Linked DNA regions of Caenorhabditis elegans. The protein of the gene in region 1 purifies or fractionates together with the protein of each later gene. This does not show direct contact. Each region holds a gene or a part of one and is shown in the gene's direction. Other genes may lie near its edges.

Region 1 (4,053 bases):
TCACCATCTGCGTTTCTTCTCCGTATCTTATCTCTCATAAAGTCACACATTGTTCCGATAAACTGTAAGTTTTTGAATAACCTCCCAGCTATTTGATATTTTAAATTTTTTTGAAAAATGGATCAAAACGGACCAGAATGCGAGGTTTGCGGACTTGAGAGCCAGGGCTTTCACTTTGGAGTGCTTTCGTGTAGAGCCTGTTCGGCATTTTTCAGGTAATTTTTGTTAATTTTTTTGAAAAATAATAGTAATTTGCAGACGGACAGCTACTGTCCCAAAATGGCATCAGAAAAATTGCCAAAAACCAAGTAAATGTAAAAATGGAGAGGGTCAATATCACTGCAAGCCGTGTAGGCTCAAAAGATGCATTGCCGTTGGAATGAACACTGAAAGTTAGTTTTTTTTCTTCCTTAATCGCTACCAGAAATGTTAAAAATTTTCAGATTTCCAATTTGACCGAGATGGCCTAGTTGCAAAACTCAAAAAGCCCAAGCTCCCAAAATCGTTCGAAATGTTTGTGGGACGGCCTGAATATGTGCTCTTCTGCACTCCTGGCACATCAGCTCAGATTTCTAACCCAAAAACTCTTATCGACGTCAGTGGTCTCGTTAACAAGGCTTCTAACGTTTTGCTAACTGGTCCAGAAATACCTATAATTGCTCGAGACCAACTTCATAAGCTAGCAATTGGATTCAGTTTCCTAGAGAATACTTCTACAAATATGAAAGATTTCCCGCATTCCTCAAAAGAAGATGTGCTCAAAATATGGGAATTTTATTTTCTCACAGTGGCACGGTGGCTGACGTATTTCGACGAGTTTCAGAAGTTGGACCACAAAATTCAGGTATACTAAAAAAATTGAGCTAGAAAAATTGAATAAATTCAGATGACCCTTCTCCTCGCAATCTGGCACGTTTGGGGACGACTTGACAAGCTTCTGGCAACTGCAATAAATCGGAGACGCGGCTTGTGTCCTACAAAAAACCTGTTGACTCTGAGCAATGGGGTTTTCATCGATATGGAGCATCAAGAAGTTGATGTAGATTGGATGACCAATTACGAGCCGGAGCAAGTTTTGACGTAAGTTATTTTGGAAAAAAAATTGAACCGCCATAAAACATGTTTTACACATTTTTTTTGAGAAGTTTCCTCCTTTCCTGTTAAGCCTGTTCAGCTTAGCGTAAAACGCGGAATTTTTCAATTTTTCTACCTACAATTGTCATAAAGTATTGTACATTTTTGACAAACACAGTTTCTGAGAAAAAACGCGAAAGTTTACAAGAAAACCCCCATTGGTTAGTCAAACAACTGGCTACAATTCCAGCGTAATTCCAAAACTTTCAGCTTCATAGACGGAGTGCGCGCCCGAGAGCTCACCAAAGAAATCGACCCTTTAGTAGAGCTTGAGCCATCTGACATTGAATCCGCCTACATGCTTGCCCAACTCTGCTTCCACTACGCAGGAAAACGATTTGCTGGTGAAATCCAAGAAATTTGTGATCACCTTCAAGACGTTCTTGCTCAAAACCTACATGAATATTACCAAAATGAGAAGAAAATTGATCGATACTCGGGAAGACTGGCGAAGCTAATAAAGATTAATGGAGCAGTTCAGGTACTGATTTTAACAAGAAAATTTATTCCAATAAAATAAAACTTACAGAAAAACATTTGGGAAAATCGATCAAAAATCAAAATTTCCAAGACTTTTGACATGCTCTCCATAGAGACTTCCCATCCGGAAATGTTTTATGACACTGGATTTTAATTTGGTTTTTTTTTATTGTTGACGCATGTATTTATCCAGAAAAATGTGTTGTTAATAAAGTTCAGATATTGGCTGAAAATTTGAAGACTGAAACCAATATGATTGTGATTTTAGTGCGGCTAGTAAAAAAATTGCTTAAAACACGAATATGTGATCACAGTGATTTTCAAAAAAAATGTTATCATTCGTTCAATGTGACCTCATAGGCGTGTTTTGAAAAAAATTTCCCCAATGGACAGACCCTTTAATTCACCTTCACTTTGTCGACTGAAAATCGAAGAATCAATGATAAAAACTTAGTTCAGCACGTTGATGTAATCTGCAAACAAATCATTTCCGATTTTTGCAATGAAAATTACGATAAGATATGTAAAACGTATGGGTTTTTGGAGATTATTTTTTAAAAAATCATCACGCCCAAAAAAAGGAGACGCTTAAAAGCTGCACACAAACTTCCTAAATGCTCATTCAGACTCAAAATGTATTCACATGGTATTGCTGCCTTTCTTCTGGTTCTAGTTAGCCAGGCAAGTGCTGAAATTAAGCTCGGATGTAAGTCAGATCCTATGCCAGATGCTAACGGCAAATGCCCACCTGGCACTACTATGATTACTGCTGGAGGATGCTGCCCAGACAATGATGTTTACAGTAAGTTTTTACGATGTTTTACACTTTATTTGCGGCGGACATCTAACGGGTCTCATACACTCCTGATGATAGAGAACGATTTTTAAAAACCCGCAATTTGTCCGCTGCAACCTATTTCTCGAGTTTCGTAGTTTACTTCCAAAACACTGATTACATATGTACCAATTGAAACTTTCAGTCATCTCTGACACAACTACGACAATGGCACCAACCACTCCATCACCCGGATCATGTTGTGATAAGATCAACCCAAAAACTGGTGTCAGTGACTGCCCAGGAATGAAGAACTACTGTAACTATGGTCCATATATTGATATTATGAAGGATCAGTGTCCAAAGACCTGCGGATACTGTAAGTTAGCTTTTTAAGACACAAAGTAGTCACCAGCAAAGGTTCAGGTGGCTCCGGCTCGGCGACAACTCCAGGAATCTGCAGAGACAAGTTGAATCCGACCACTGGAGTCAGTGACTGCCCGGCTAGACGAAATTTGTGCAATAATGGAATCTACCACGATGTGATGAAAGACCAGTGCCCCAAGACATGCGGTTATTGCAAATAGTTTTATGTTTGTGTTAAATATAATAAATACCAGAACATTCTCGTTTTATTTTCAGATTTCAAACAAATTTCAGAATTTTTCCGCATTACTAGAGTCTGTCGTTGGATCTAGTCGCAATGACGACATAATATTTTGGGTGTACGTGCACTCTTCAGTCTATCGATCTTCGAAATCGACCGGAATTTTTTTGGGCGACGTAAAATTGAGGTCGTCGGCGAATGAAACACGCCGCTTTTGTTTCGGTGCTTAGAAATGATTTCTCGAATTCCCGCGCAAATGAATGACCTAGTTTTGATATTTTTGCGGTTTTGGTAGAATTCGTTGAATTATATGATTGAAAACATTTTTGTCACTAATTTTGCATAGAAAACATAAGAAATTTGGTCAAACTCTAGAATTAATCTACAGAAGTTTTCAGAGGAAAAATGTCTGGAAATTTTACATCAGAGAATTAATTCAAAAAATGACCGAGAGATTCAGATTCAGGAAAACAAAAAAAATTGAAACAAACCATGAAACGTTTCTGCGAAAGAAATCAAAAATTATTCAGCCATTTAAATTTTTCTTTTGACAAAATTGCAAATGATTCAGATTGAACCAACAAAGAATAACTCAAAAATCTGATAATAATGGTTCAAATTACTTAAACATAATTATATTAAAACAAGCATATTCACGATCCTGCGAGTTTTTTCTAAAACTATCAGAAAATGGGTTTAAGGAAAGTCAAATTTCGTGGATGATATGACGTCACCTGCCATCGCTGAAGTTGCTCTTTTCCTTTGCTCCTTTCGATTTTTCTGACACACTCCAGATAAAGTTACGTGAATTTTCTCAAAAGGCAAAAAATGAGAACACTGAGATTTCGAGCGTTGCTGTAAGCTTAAACACCTATAATTTTCAAAAAATAACAACTAAAAAATGTTTAAAAAATTTTTCCGACAAATCTGACAATACTGGGCTATTGAATTTGACTTGAAAACTGTTCAGATTTTATTAAAAACTAAAATTTATTCAAAACTTTCCAGAAATTTTTTTTCGCATTACTAGAGTCCATCGACGGGCCTATTCGCAATG
Region 2 (5,370 bases), on another chromosome or scaffold:
TTCAGACTGCTTTTCTTCCCATTCTTCTTCAGTATCAGAACGATTATTAATCTTTCTCTTCAGCTCAGCACGTTCTTTCTTTCGTTGCTCACGACGAGCTCTTCTCTCTTCTTTCTCCTTATTTGCCTTTTTGCTCTTTTTCTTCTCTTTCTTTTCCTTCTTTTTATCCTTTTTACTTTTCTTTGATTTCTTCACCTTCTTCTTCTTCTTCTGTTCAAAATCACTTTCCTCCGATTCAGAAGATGTCGAAGAATCGTCTTCAGAAACATTTCTAACTGCTCTCATTTCTCTTTTCTTCTCCTTCCTTCTATCTTCTTTCAGTTCTTCTCGTTTCTTTTCATTTTCTGCTTGAATCTCTTCAGCCGCAACTCTCAATTTATAAGTGTCATGTATCTCCTCATGAGTTGGCGAATGTCCCCAGATGTTATTCAGGCCATCGGCTTGGATATTAACTCGCTGGAAACGTCTTTTTGACCACATTTCAGCTCTACGATTTTCTTCTTCATCCCTCCAATTTCTAACAGGCGGCGAGCCGCTTCGTTGTCGTTGTCTATAATTTCTTCTTGGTGGAGACTTTGAACGGCTCTGATCTCGTCTACGTTTTGCTGGTGGTGGACTTCTTGAGCGTTGTTGTCTTCTCGGAGGAGGAGATCGACTCCTGGAAACTTGACGTCGTGGTGGAGATCGGCTTCTTCTGACTGGGCTCCTTGAAATTCGACGACGTCTTGGTGGAGAAGGACTACGACGAGTACGACGTGGTGGAGATCGGCTTCGTTTTCTTGGAGAATCATCACGACGTCTTCGTGGCGGTGAGGCACTCGGAGCACGAATTGGCTCTCGTTTTCGTTTTGGAGGCGAATTTTTTACAACTGGGCTTGAAGATCGAGAACGGGAGTCTGATTCGGAACTTGAACGGCTTCTACTTCGACTACTTCTGGAGGAATCTCTGAAATTATAAATTATAATTATTTTTATTTTAAAAAAACGTAAATTTCGCTTCAGAAAATCCAAAGTAGTCTCAAATTTAGAAATATTACAAAAGAAAATCGAAAAAATCCAAGTTTAAAAAGCGCGATTTTCCTATTCTGGTTTGAGAAAATGTTGTATTTTTTAAGCAAAAATTGATTGAAAACTCACCTTTTTGACTTCCACATTGGTTTGTCTTTGTCCCCGCTGCCACTATTCGTTCTTCTTCTGTTCTAAAAGTAATTTTAAATGAAAATAACATTTTTTGAACGTGCAAAACGGCAAAGTACCTCTCTCGACGATGATCTTGAACTTCGTGAATCATCTGAACTGCCTTCATAATCCAAAGAAATATCACTCATCTTGTGAATTGAAGTAGAAATCGGCGCGCAATCAAAAAATTCCGGAATTCAATAAAAAAATGATTTCGAAAATGACTGGAGATAAAAAAGAACAGAATTTCTGCGCGGCGGTGTTGCCGAGCAAGTCTCCGCCCACTTTAACCGTGCGGCGTGCAGCGTTCAAATTGGAAAAAAACATTGCGCGTTCTTTAGCATATTTTTCAGTGATTTTCTGCATTTTCTGCTCGCAAAATGTGTTTATTTTGATCCAAATAAATTTGATTTCTTCTGAATCACTTCAATTTATCAAATAAATTCTTATTTACAGAATGGTGGACTCTGATGATGATGGCGATCGCCGCCGTGACAAATTCGCCCGTGAACGTCGTGATGAGGAGTAAGTTTCTTTCTATTATATTTCAAATACTAAAAAATCACTCATTCTGTTTCAGTTATCGCCGTGGTGGAGGCGGATTCAATCGCTATGACAACAAGCGTCCTGGAGGACGAAGAGATGATTACCAAGTAAAGCGGAGTCGTGGAGAGTTAGTATCGTTTTTTGTTTACGTTGAAAATCTATGTTTTTTCAGCGACGCAGATGACAGTTTCGATCCCGTAAGTCGTTCTGGTAATGGTTCGGATTTACCCACTGAATCGGATTCCATATATTCGGGACCACTTCAAACATTCAAAAAGTTCCTCACTAGCCAGGAAGATGATATCTCGGAAGAAGATGCTATCAAAAAATATAATGAGTACAAGACAGAACATAGAAAACATCAACTTGAACGGTTCTTCCGTGCCCATAAAGACGAAGAATGGTAAATTTCAGCTTCGATTTTCAAGACCAGAGGCGCATTATGCCGCGGTCAACGGATTGGTTATATCTTTGAATTTTTCACTCGGCACGGATGCCATTCACATTTTGTTCCAATACCCGTTGTCTTTTAATATCTTGAGTTCTAATTTTTCAACATCTATTTCAGGTTCCGTCTTAAATACAAACCGGATGATGCGAAGAAGTTGCGAGAGGCGCATTTGGAAAATGTGCAGAAGCGCTTGCAGGTTTTCAATGAGTTGAAGGAGCAGGGACAATTCAATAAATTCTCTCTGGATTTCGGAGATGCGGAGGCAATCATTAGAATGCTAGATTCAGGTAGATTTTGTTTTTAAAGGTTTCGAATATATGTTTAATTTTGTTGTATTTTCAGTTGTTGTCAAGCTGGAAAATGGAACTGAAGACGAGTTGAAAGCTGTTCTGGCTCAAAAACTAGAAGACGAGTCACTCGCTGACATTAAAAAAGACGAGAATGGGAATGGAACCGAACAGCCGAAAGAAGAGCCAGAAGTAAAACAAGAATCCGGAGCAACGGAAGAGTTGGAAGAGGGAGCCATTGAAGATGGAACCGAAAAGTCATCGAACAAGGTCAACATCCACAGAACCTGCTCGGTTTTCTTGAGAAATATCCCACCAGGTCTCACATATGAGGAACTAGAGGGTCTCTGTAAAAAGAGCCCAGGATTTTTACGTCTTGCTCTGACCGATGGAATTGCCGAAAGAAAGTTCTACAGAAGAGGATGGGCTACATTCAAGCGAGATATCAATATCAAAGAAATCTGCTGGGCACTCAACGCACATCGTCTGCGAGAAACTGATCTGAATGCAATCATCAACCGTGACATTACTCGTCGTGTTCGTACCAATAATGGGATTGCATCTCATAAGCAAGTTGCGATTAACGATCTGAAGCTTGCTGTCAAGCTCACTGTTCTTTATGACAAGAAGATTGGTTTGTTCAACGCTGCTGATGAAGCTGATGCTGATCGTGAGATGGATATTCGTATGGGCGTTGATTTAGTCGCTGCTTCAACGAATCCGTTGATTAAAGAAGTTAAATCACTTGTTCCACATGATGTTCTCAATGATATTAGTGAAGAGGAAGCTGAATTATTGGGAGTCTCGAATGGAGGTGAAGCACCAGCTGAAAAGATTCGGTTTGAGCGCGATGATAATATCCTGAAGGCTCTCGATCTTCTCATCGTTTACCTTCGCATTGTTCATTCCATCGATTTTTATAATCACGGACATTATGCGCAGGAAGATTCGATGCCGAATCGATGTGGCTTGATTCACGTTCGTGGGCAGCCGCCTTCTGGAGTATCAATCACTACTGACGAGGATGGAGCTCTCGTCGTTCCACAGAAATTTGTGAACGATTTTATTTCGGGATTCAATAGCCGCATTGAGAAAGGGTTGATTGAAAAGCAGTATGTAAGCGAGGAAGAATTGGAGAAAATGGGCAAGAAGGATGGAGAAAAGTAAGTGAAAAAATTTGCTTTTTTAAAAATAATTTTTAACAAACCCAAATTTTCAGGGAAGTTGAAGCTTTTATTCAAAAGAATACTGTCGAGTTGGCAAAGGATAAATGGCTCTGTCCGCTTTCTGGAAAGAAATTCAAGGGACCTGAATTCATCCGAAAGCACTTGCAGTCTAAACATGAAGACAAGCTGGAGGAAGCGAGAGCAGAAGCTGACTTTTTCAACAATTATCTTGCCGACGCCCAAAGACCAGTCGACTGTGAGCCCAAACAAGCTCCAAGAGATGATCATCGTGGAGGTGGTGGTGGTGAGCGAGGTGGATATGGAAGAGAACGAGACGATGATCGAGGACCTGGTGGTGGAGGAAGTGAGTTGTTCAACTCTTGAAATTTCATAAATATGATTAATTTTCAGGAAACTCTTTTGGCGGTGGAGGATATGATCGTCGTCCCCAATTCCCTCCTCGACATTCACTTGGTGGACGAGGTGGTGGTGGACGCTACTTCGAGGATGCGCCACGTCGTCAGCCAGTCTCGTATCGCGATTTGGATGCTCCAGATGATATTCCATAATTCCATCCTACGTTGAATCCAATTCAAATATATGCACAACAAATTATGCTATTTATTTCCCCCTTCTCAATTAAATATTAGTTTTAACTAAATGTTTTTGTATGGCCAATAATAATCTCCTTTTTTAAAAAACGCTCCATTTTCAATACGTCCCTAATGAAATATGATTCTGTGTAACTCAACGGAACTTTTTATTAGAAAACAATCATCATAACAAGAAAAGTAAATATAACATTTAAAATTAACAAAAGTACATGTTTTCCCATCTCACTTGTCCTCCAAGTGCATCTTTTTCAGTCGGAGGTAGAACACAGGAGCAATGGGATCATCTTGGTGGGTTACTGTCTGGAAAAATACAGAATGTTGAAAGTTGGATTTCAAGTATTACGGGAGCTGAGAATGTGTATTGCGCAACATATTTGACGCGCAGATTGTCTCGTAGCGAAAACTACAGTAATTCTTTAAATGACTACTGTAGCGCTGTTGTCGATTTACGGGCTAGATTTTTTGAGATTAATTTCTTTTCGAATAGTGACAGGGTTTCTTCACATAATTTTCTATATTTTTTCGATAAATAAAGAATTTTAATTATTTTCGAAAATCAATCCCGTAAATCGACACAAGCGCTACAGTAGTCATTTGAAGAATTACGGTAGTTTTCGCTACACGATATTGTGCTCGCCAAATATGTTGCACCATACGCATTCTCAGAATTGTGTAATATCTACCTCCGTTTCATCGATAACAATTCGCTTTTTAAAAAGCGGGCAATCTCGTACAAATGACTCGAATTCTCCACCTTCACCGCACGGATGAACTCCATATTTATCCTGAAGAACTTTCATAATTGGTGCCATTTCTGACAACGTTTTTCCGAGATGTTGCTCGCCGAGCCCAATGGCGGCCACTTTGATGAGAATCGCGTCGAGACCATTTTCTACCATTTCGGCAAGAAGGCCCTGGAAAAAATTGTTCGTAAACTTTTTTTAAAGGATTTTAAATATATACCTTCTTAAAGGCGCACCGATTTATCCTCGGCGTGTCTCGTATCTTTTTTGCAGTTTTTTTCATTTATTTTGGCAAATCAAAGAGAAAAAATAGACTACCATTAACTTTTTTCGCGCCGAGACCCAGCTGAATACACCCGTGTCCCTTTAAGAAGGCATGTGAAA

The links.
Region 2: the proteins of C14C6.5 (region 1) and srrt-1 fractionate together in Caenorhabditis elegans (co-fractionation; one large-scale study listed by BioGRID). This does not show direct contact.

What each region holds. Positions count from the first base shown.
Region 1 is NC_003283.11:534,400-538,452, forward strand, and holds C14C6.5 (ShKT domain-containing protein), read left to right. Parts: upstream 1-2,228; 5' UTR 2,229-2,247; coding exon 2,248-2,416; intron 2,417-2,594; coding exon 2,595-2,768; intron 2,769-2,815; coding exon 2,816-2,976; 3' UTR 2,977-3,019; downstream 3,020-4,053. Other genes in the region: nhr-132 (NR LBD domain-containing protein), read left to right, coding at 118-215, 259-392, 444-844, 887-1,080, 1,345-1,615, 1,664-1,768.
Region 2 is NC_003279.8:4,130,865-4,136,234, forward strand, and holds srrt-1 (Serrate RNA effector molecule homolog), read left to right. Parts: upstream 1-1,635; 5' UTR 1,636-1,636; coding exon 1,637-1,704; intron 1,705-1,759; coding exon 1,760-1,852; intron 1,853-1,897; coding exon 1,898-2,128; intron 2,129-2,293; coding exon 2,294-2,463; intron 2,464-2,518; coding exon 2,519-3,626; intron 3,627-3,682; coding exon 3,683-3,993; intron 3,994-4,040; coding exon 4,041-4,198; 3' UTR 4,199-4,373; downstream 4,374-5,370. Other genes in the region: let-504 (NF-kappa-B-activating protein C-terminal domain-containing protein), read right to left, coding at 1-946, 1,138-1,199, 1,257-1,328; dph-6 (Diphthine--ammonia ligase), read right to left, coding at 4,466-4,543, 4,927-5,157. UniProt on the Caenorhabditis elegans protein: Acts as a mediator between the cap-binding complex (CBC) and the primary microRNAs (miRNAs) processing machinery.